Linked DNA regions of Coturnix japonica. The protein of the gene in region 1 interacts with the protein of each later gene in a pairwise test. Links are inferred from orthologs where the notes say so. Each region holds a gene or a part of one and is shown on either strand. Other genes may lie near its edges. The genes, in order: BCCIP and RPL23.

Region 1 (4,485 bases):
TTAAACCAAAACAACCGACTACTAAGAGCCATAAACTATTTGCTTCTCATCTGATTTGTAAAATTCACATTAAATACTAAAATGATCGCCATTGTTACAGCTTAATGGCATCAGAATAAAAAGCAAAAGGAGAAACCAGTGCCCCTCTGATTCGTTTTGAAACAGCACCTCATTTTGTGGTATTTTTGGAAGTAACCTTGGAAGTTTAGGTGAAACACCTTTTTTGCAAGTGTTGCAATGAAAAAATCAACATTTTAAAGTAATAGAATTGTGTACGTTACCTCATAAAAGAATTCCTCCTCTGCATTTGCAAACATTAATTCCTCCTTCTGCTGATTTCTCCCTTCTTTCCTCTTAGAATTCTTTGTGGCTTCTGTAAAGGTTTTGCTGATAAGAAGGTAATAGTGACACTTCCCACAAGGTTTGTTTGTTCTCTGCGCCTCCTTTAATTCTTTCCTGAAGATAAATAAATATTCAGGTGTACCATTTAATCATGAGTGTCCATAATTAAAAGCCTCAGCAAGTGTAAATCCCACAGTGTGTTAGTTTAGAAAGTCCATTTGTACTACACCCTTAAGTCCCTTAACTTCTCCCAGCTGAAAGTAAAAACAGACTGTAATACAAAGTTGAACTATAACATAGCTGGTTTTCTCTAAGGAAGTAGCTAAGACAGTATTACAGCACATTATTTGTAAGAGCACAGTTTGAAAGCCCAAGGGTGTTTAAAAAACTAAGTGAAACCATAGACCTTACAGATGAAAATCATCTTTTTGTTTTTACGTCTTACTGAGAGCATCAGTTCTCTTACCACAGTACTATACAAGAGATATGAAGTATTGATCATCTTCATGTTAATCACGAAATAAAACATGAAATAAAACACAGCGAAAACCACTTACTGAAGCTGCTGGTGCATGGGCAAAGCAATCTGTGGTGGTACATTAATGAACCTCTCACTCAGCAGCAAACCCACAGGCTTAGTATCATCCTTCAGGAGCTCATCCAGTTGTTCAACCACGCGCTGTTCACAGTTTTGCTCACACCGACTTAGAATCAGCTCTTTGATTTGTTCAGCACATTGTGTACCCTAGAATCGAAAGGCACACATTCTTTATGTTACACAACAACTGTTTACACAAGAAAATCACCAGCTTCAAGGGAGGATCCAACAGTCCTATAGACAGACTCCTTTAGTGGTTCCTGAAGCAATGCACAATTCCGCAACCCTGAAGAAGAGTGAAACCAAAAATTCTTTACTGACAGGAGCGCAGTGAGGAGCTACGACACCACAACATTTAATAGCAAAACTCAACAGCTGCTCAAGATGGAAGTAAAGAAATGGAAGAGTAGGCAGCTCAGCCGCCCTGGAAATACTGGTCAGATCAGTCTTAATTCTCTGTTTCAATTCTCTGACCTTCAGCAAGTTATGCAGGACTAGATCCAAAAGAAACCGAAGTGATGCAGAACTTCCAAGCCCATAATCCTCCACAGCAGGATTCAGAATCCTCATCCAACTATCACAACATGCTGTTCCAAGCAGAAAAGCAGAACACAGCCACACTTACATCAGCCCAGAAGTTAAACAGGAATACCAACCTTCCTTTCAGTTAAGTTTAGGAAGCTTATAAAACCAAAGACTTCATCATCATCAACATCATCATCATCACTGCTGTCTTCTTGTACTTCTGCTTGCTGTTTGATGAAAGAAAGAGAAATAATTCACACTGACATTCTATTTCCACTCCTTGCACTGGAATATGTTTGTTTGCTTTCCAGAAGATACATTTGTTACCTAAGAATCATATTAATGCTGGGCAGAAAAACTCAGGACCCATTCCAGGGTCCTTTCTAAAGCCCACAAGAGGAAACTGGAGGCTGTGGATGCCCCATCCCTGCAGGCATTCAAGGCCAGGCTGGATGTGGCTCTGGGCAGCCTGGGCTGCTGGTTGGTGACCCTGCACACAGCAGGGGGTTGGAATTGAATGATCACTGTGGGCCTCTGCAGCCCAGGCCATTCTGTGAGTCTATGACTCTATAAATTGCACATAACAATAAACCAGTTTCACTGTTTGGCATGGAAAATATCAGGTCCAACAGGAGAATTAATCCCCAAACAAAGTCAAGCAAGTTACAAACAGCACTGAAGACACGACTCACTTCCAGAAATGCAATGCTGCATTTCAAAGCAAGCAACGTTGTACTTAATTTACAACAGCCACTTCTGCCTTACCTTGATGATACTTCCAATATGATTCTGTTGTATCAATATATCGGTTAACTCCGCGGTGTTAACGGGAGCTTTTAGAAACAGCTGGAAAACAAAAAGCAAGGCTGGTTTAGATGCAGTACGGACAATGTGAGCTGCTGCCTCCTTGCAGCTGTTTATCCACATAAGCATCATCCCTGCTGACATGATGCACAGTACCTGCTGCAGCAGCTTCTTTATCCCGTTGTAGTCACTGTCTGATATTGAATGCGCTTCAAATTCAACATTCACTTCCTACAAAAATAGGGAAAATTAAGCGGATTTGGCGAGCAGGAAAACGGAGCCGGGGCTTTAAGAGACGATAAGGTTTGCTACCATCAGCCTGTCCCCACCCCCATTTTAGTAGGGTAACTTCTCCTACCGGCCAAACGGAACCCCCTGCTCACCCCGTCCATCCCCCTGCTCACCCCGTCCCCCTGCTCACCCCGTCCATCCCCCTGCTCACCTCGTCCACCTGCTCGTCCTCCTCGGACTCCGAATCTCCCGATTCCGGCTCCGAATCCGATCCCGAGTCCCGTTCCGGGGCTGCAGGCCTTGCCCTGCGCTTGGCCGGCGTGGCCATATTGGCGCTGTGCGCATGCGAGGCGGACACGGAAGGGAGAGCGGAGGGAGGGGAGGAGCCGGGCCGGGGCGGCCGGGAGCGGAGCGGGGCAGGTGAGAGGGGGAGATCAAAGCCCATAAGTGCTATTAATGGGTGAGCCTCAGTCGCACCGTGTTTCATGTAAGGCCCTGTGTGTCGTTAATGACGGGGACGAGTGCTAATAAAGTCGCTAGGAGGGGCCTGAGCCATGCTGCAGTGTGTGCACAGGGGGATGTCAGCTGTGTGTGTGCTACATGGATGGGGGCTGCCTTACCTTGGAGGGGCAAGTTGGGTTGGATTGGGACAAGTTGGGCTGGGTCATGTTGGGTTGATTCAGGTTGGGTTGGTTGGGTCAGGCTGGTGGGGTTGGATCACATTGGGTTGGTTGGGTTGGGTTGGTTGAGTTGGGTTGGATTCATGTTGGGTTGGATTCATGTTGGGTTGGATTCAGGTTGGGTCATTTGGATTGAGTCACATTGGGTTGGTTGGATTGGATTGGATCAGGTTGGGTTGGATTGGATCAGGTTGGGTTGGGTTGGGTTGGGTCAGGTCAGTTTGGTTGGATTAGTTCAAGTTGTGCTGGGGGATCTGAGTGGTCATTTTCAGCCTGAATGATTCTATAAGAGGTCTGAGTCCTGCAGTCCCAGGGGATTGCCAGGTCAGGGTTGGGTTTTGGGATGTAGACACCTGAATGGCAGGAATTATTATTCAGAAAAGTTGCTTGTGTTTAATGGTGTATATACAATGTTATCTCACAGGTAATCTTTCTTTCCTTCTCTGGTTATTGAACTCAGCTATTTGCTAGGAAAGAATAGTGGTAAAAAATACATAACATCAGAAAAGGGTTGTTTTCAGAGCATATGTCAGCAGTGTTTTGTAATTCACTTCCATTTCAGTTTATGACATTCCCGTTACGCTTGGCAATCAATCCTTGCTGTGCGACCTATGCAGTTTCTTACAATAAAAGAGGAGCTGGAGTTATATTAAAGCTTGATGTATTTTGCAGCTCTCAGTGTCACTCAGAAGCAGAAACAGCAGGACACATTTCTTTCTTTCTGGAAGCCATCCTCTCTCATAGAAATAGTTTGCAATTAGTTTGGAGGCAGCTTTTCAGATGGGAGGGAGTGGGGAATTGGAGATACGCACTGTAATCGCTGTTACTGAAGCTGCCATGTCTTGTGTGCTTTCTCTTAATGATTCATTGGCGATGCTTGTTGGGGTTCTTGACCCCTTAAGCGTGTTGAGCTGCAAGCTGCTGTTGTAATGTGCTGTGTTGGACAGCCATCCATGTTCCTTTGCTGCTTGTTGTATTTGCCCAAGTGTTGGGATCAGTCATTGAATTCAGCACCAGTCAGCACGTAAGGAACAAAGAACCTCCTTCCCTTCTGTGTATGAGCAACAGGTGTGAGCCCTGGAACAGGGTAGAGCAGCATGGGATAAAGGTGTTACAGCCAGAAGCACATTTCATTGCTGAACATGACTGCCTTGTAGGGGTTGTTCCTTCCTTTGCAGCTTTCTCCTTGATGACTTTCCTTGTCGCTTCTCCCTTAAGCAGCATTATCTGAAGCCAGCATGTTATTTGCTGCTCTTATCAGGGTGGGTATTCATTCCCAGAGAACGTGTGTTAGCTGCTTACTCA
Region 2 (4,126 bases), on another chromosome or scaffold:
GCTCCTGCAATTAACCAGTGACCTGACGACTTGTTTCACCACTGATCGAGGCTTTGAGGCACGTGCAAACAGCCACCGCCTCAGCTGACAGCAGTGGGCTCCATGTGTCCTTGTATTGTCCTCAGCAAGGACTAAAGAGATCATTTTAGTGTGCTCTGCCATACAACCTGCACAGGGGGCTCATCACATCCAGGTGTAGCTTCCCCCCCTTTCAGAATCACTTCTCTCTGAGCTGTTCAATCTCTCGTCCTGGAGGAAAATGGAGAGGCACAAAGTTTGTGTACAAGGCCTTTCAGAGCTCCCAGCCTCCATCACTGCACGCCAAATTTGGACCAGTTCAATTACAAACACCCCCCAAATGCTGATGGTTCTGCCTCATTAAGACTAATCACCACCTCAGCTCCACAGCCAGTTTCCTCCTGCTGAACCCACCCACATCTGAGGCTTCATGAATCCCCCCCAGCACCACCAGGAGCCAACTCGAATCCTAACAACAAGGCAGACACCATTTTTTGGTACAAGTACTTTTTATTTCCATCTCCACGCGTGTTCACGCAATGCTTCCTGCATTGGAGGCTATCCTGGGCCACAGATCTGCACATTCCTTGGCCACGGGGCCTGTGATGGCTGAACCTGGAGGAAAGAAATAACAGCACATCAGAGCTCAGTCAATGTGGTTGTGTTCTCCCAGGTCCAAATAGAACCCAGGTCCTTGGCCCAGGTGAGCAAAGCCCTCCTATAACCAAGCACACCAACCCCAGCCCATGTTTCTCTTAGGCTTAATGCAGGATTCTGCTTTCCCATACCTTTCATTTCACCTTTATTGTTCACTATGACACCCGCGTTGTCTTCAAAATACAAGAACACTCCATCTTTTCTCCTATATGATTTTCGTTGCCGAATGACCACCGCTGGGTGCACTGCCAAGAGACACAACAGCACATCAGCCTTCTTCAGCATCACCCACAGCACAACCCAACACTTAACTCCCCTCCCAACACCTTTGCAAGGAGCTGAATTACACCCTGGGCTCACAAAATGCAGCCCATAGGATCAGCAGGGCTGACACCTCGCTCGCTCCTATTCTCAGCTTCTCAGTGTTCCACTTAAAAACTGGTGGCAAAATCTCTGTTTGGAGATGATGCTCAGCCTTACTTCTATGTGTGTCAGCTCAGAGATGGCACTCAGCAATTCCAGCTCTTGTGGGGGGGGAGGAAAGGGGGAGACCCCCCATTTCCCAAGGCCGTGTCACATCGCTGATTGAAACAAACAGCACAAGCTGCCACTTCACCCAAAAGCGATGCCCTTTTCTCTGCCCTTCCACGACAACTCACTGAGCCACGGCACAAAGACCCAACGAGTGCTTTTGAGAAGGGCGGAACAAACACTCCACGAAGGGGACATCTGCCTTCTGATCCTTTCCTATGTGAATACAAGGCAAAACCTGCCCCCTCCATCCCATGGGAGGACAATGAGATGCAGATAGACTGAGCAGGAGCTGCCTGGATGCTTTGAGGAATGCCATGCAGACACAGCAGGCCCGGCTGCTCCTTACCCTTCTTCCTCAGCTCTGGTTTGCCCTTCTTGACAGTCGCCATCACCATGTCACCCACTCCAGCTGCTGGCAGCCTGTTCAGTCGCCCTTTAATCCCCTTCACGGAGATGATGTACAGGTTCTTGGCACCTGTAAAGAGAAAAGCTCATTATCCATGGCCAGATTCTCCCCTTGCAGGGACCCCCATCCCATCACCCATAGAAACACAGTGATACCGCATTGCTCTGCCCATCCGCAGCAACATAAGGGACCCCCGGCTGCATCCCCCCCCCCCCCGGCTGCCGGCTTTACACCCCGTCCCATCCATAACACGGGGGCACCCACCTGTGTTATCAGCGCAGTTAATCACGGCTCCAACGGGGAGACCGAGGGAGATGCGGAACTTCGCTCCGGAGGAACCTCCGCGTCCTGCGGGCAGAGGAGAGCAGTGAGTTCACCGCCATAAAGTGACAGGGGGCTGCGGCCTATGGGACAACGGGTGCGGCCTGTACTACCGGGTAGGCCTCACACCGCTCCTGGTTAGGCCCAGGCCCGTATGATGCATCATCAGCACCCGGTACATCATCATCAACACCCGGTACATCATCGGCACCACCCGATCATCCTCCTCGCCCCTCTCGGCAGCCCCTCACACACCGCAGGGCGGCGGATGGCACCGGATCCCGACTAGGCCCAGCAGCCGCCTCACCTCGCTTCGACATCTTGGCACCGGAAGAGACGGAGGCGCGCAAAGCACGCTGGGAAATAGAACGTCCCCCAAGCGGATGTCACGTGATGGGAGGTCACGTGATAAGAAACGGAGCGGAACCGGCGCCCCCTGCAGGCGTTTATAAATAGAACCGGGAGAACCGGGAGCGGCAACCGAGTGATCAACGCCAGCGAATTAGGCTGAAAAACTCTTTTTTTAGGTGTATTTGTTCTAAAATAAAGACAGAAAGAGCGGAGGGTGGGAGTAAAAGAAAAGAGGGGGCACCCGGATTTGAACCGGGGACCTCTTGATCTGCAGTCAAATGCTCTACCACTGAGCTATACCCCCGCTCCATGTTAGTATATGGGAGCTGACTTTATTGCGTTCCTATGGGCTCTATAGCGATATTAGAATGGGGATTGAATATTGATTGGGGTTATTAATTAGCATTATTAATTAGCATTAATAACTGCAGCTATGAGCTGGGTGAAGGGATGCAGGGCACACACAGCGCCTTTAGGTCGGTGTATGAAGGGAGACGGATGGAGCCGGGCTCAAAGCAAAGCGATTTGGGGGGGGGTTGAAGGGCTGGAGCTGGTGGAGCCCCGTTATGAGCATTGATGGCAGTTCCGTTATGGCACAGCTCCGTTATGAGCATTGATAGCAGCTCTGTGATGGCACTGCCCCGTTGTGAGCATTGACGGCAGCTGCCCCTGATCTAAATGAGCTAAATGAGAATAAACCGCCCTCGGAGCATCGCGGTGCGGCTGAGGATGCGATGGGATGGGATGTATAGGAGGGAAAAGCTAAAATCCCAACGAGGGGGCACCCGGATTTGAACCAGGGACCTCTTGATCTGCAGTCAAATGCTCTACCACTGAGCTATACCCCCGGATGGCGGCGGCCGCAGCTCGTCGCTTCCTTGTGCGGGTGTATGTCGAGGGGGGGGGAATGCGACACGTGGAGCGGCCCGAGGAGCAAAGCGCGTGGCTGTGGTTCCGGGGCCGCGCACCCGTGGGGGGGGGGCGTGCAAAGGGACACGGGAGCGCGCATGAGGGCGGCGGGGCGATTGCGCGTGGGTGTGAGCGCGCTGCCGCCCCCGCCCCGCGCGCCCCCGTCCGCCCTCCTCCTTTTCCTCCCCCCCCCCCCCCCCTATATTTAGGGGCTCGTTCCGCGGGCGGCGGCCCAGAGGACGGACGAGGCGGCGGGGGGAGCGGGGCGGCATGAACCCCAACTGCGCCCGGTGCGGGGAAGATCGTGTATCCTACCGAGAAGGTGAAACTGCCTGGATATAAGGTGAGTGCGGGGGGAGACATCCCGAACCCCCCCCCCCCCAATCCCCCTTAACCCAACCCCCGTCCACCGCGATCTCCGTGTCCCGCAGCACAACGAGGCGGAACCCATCTGGATCCCATTAGCAAAAGGGGGGGGTTTCTTTTTAAGCTCCGGTTCCAACGGGCGCGTCCCCGGAGCTGTGCGGTTCGCCTTGTTCTCTCTCTCGCTTTCAGTATCGCTTTGGAGACTTTTCACGTTAAGAATAAAGCTTTTCTGTGCCGATGTTCCGGCCTCGACGAGAGGGTGATGTGAGATGGGGGGAGGGTGTAGCGATCTGTCTCTGTGCCCCCACGGGACCCCCGGAGCCGCCCCCCTCCTTCCCCCCATTCAGGGGCGCTCCAGCAGCTTCTAAAATAAGTAAGTCTCGGAATGCGCCGATCCGCGCAGCGACATTCCTGAGCCGTGCAGACCCCGGGGCCGCATTTTTCACGGATGAGGTTTTTTCCTGACGCTGGGAATCGGCCGACGTTGATCCATCAGTGTTGTATCCCATAGACCCCCCCGTTTGTTCCAAGCTGAGAACTGGCTCTGTCTATACAGCCCCCCCC

What was found.
Region 2: the proteins of BCCIP (region 1) and RPL23 interact in binary tests that used the Homo sapiens proteins (3 or more experiments, as listed by UniProt). The link is inferred for Coturnix japonica from reciprocal best matches to the Homo sapiens genes BCCIP and RPL23.

Annotation. Positions count from the first base shown.
Region 1 is NC_029521.1:28,918,263-28,922,747, reverse strand, and holds the start of BCCIP (BRCA2 and CDKN1A-interacting protein), read right to left. Parts: upstream 2,863-4,485; 5' UTR 2,829-2,862; coding exon 2,712-2,828; intron 2,501-2,711; coding exon 2,426-2,500; intron 2,312-2,425; coding exon 2,231-2,311; intron 1,693-2,230; coding exon 1,597-1,692; intron 1,088-1,596; coding exon 900-1,087; intron 457-899; coding exon 282-456; intron 1-281. UniProt on the Homo sapiens protein: During interphase, required for microtubule organizing and anchoring activities. During mitosis, required for the organization and stabilization of the spindle pole.
Region 2 is NC_029542.1:3,753,352-3,757,477, forward strand, and holds RPL23 (60S ribosomal protein L23), read right to left. Parts: upstream 2,374-4,126; 5' UTR 2,257-2,373; coding exon 2,244-2,256; intron 1,964-2,243; coding exon 1,880-1,963; intron 1,685-1,879; coding exon 1,556-1,684; intron 1,378-1,555; exon of another isoform or gene 1,244-1,377; intron 921-1,243; coding exon 807-920; intron 634-806; coding exon 551-633; 3' UTR 509-550; downstream 1-508.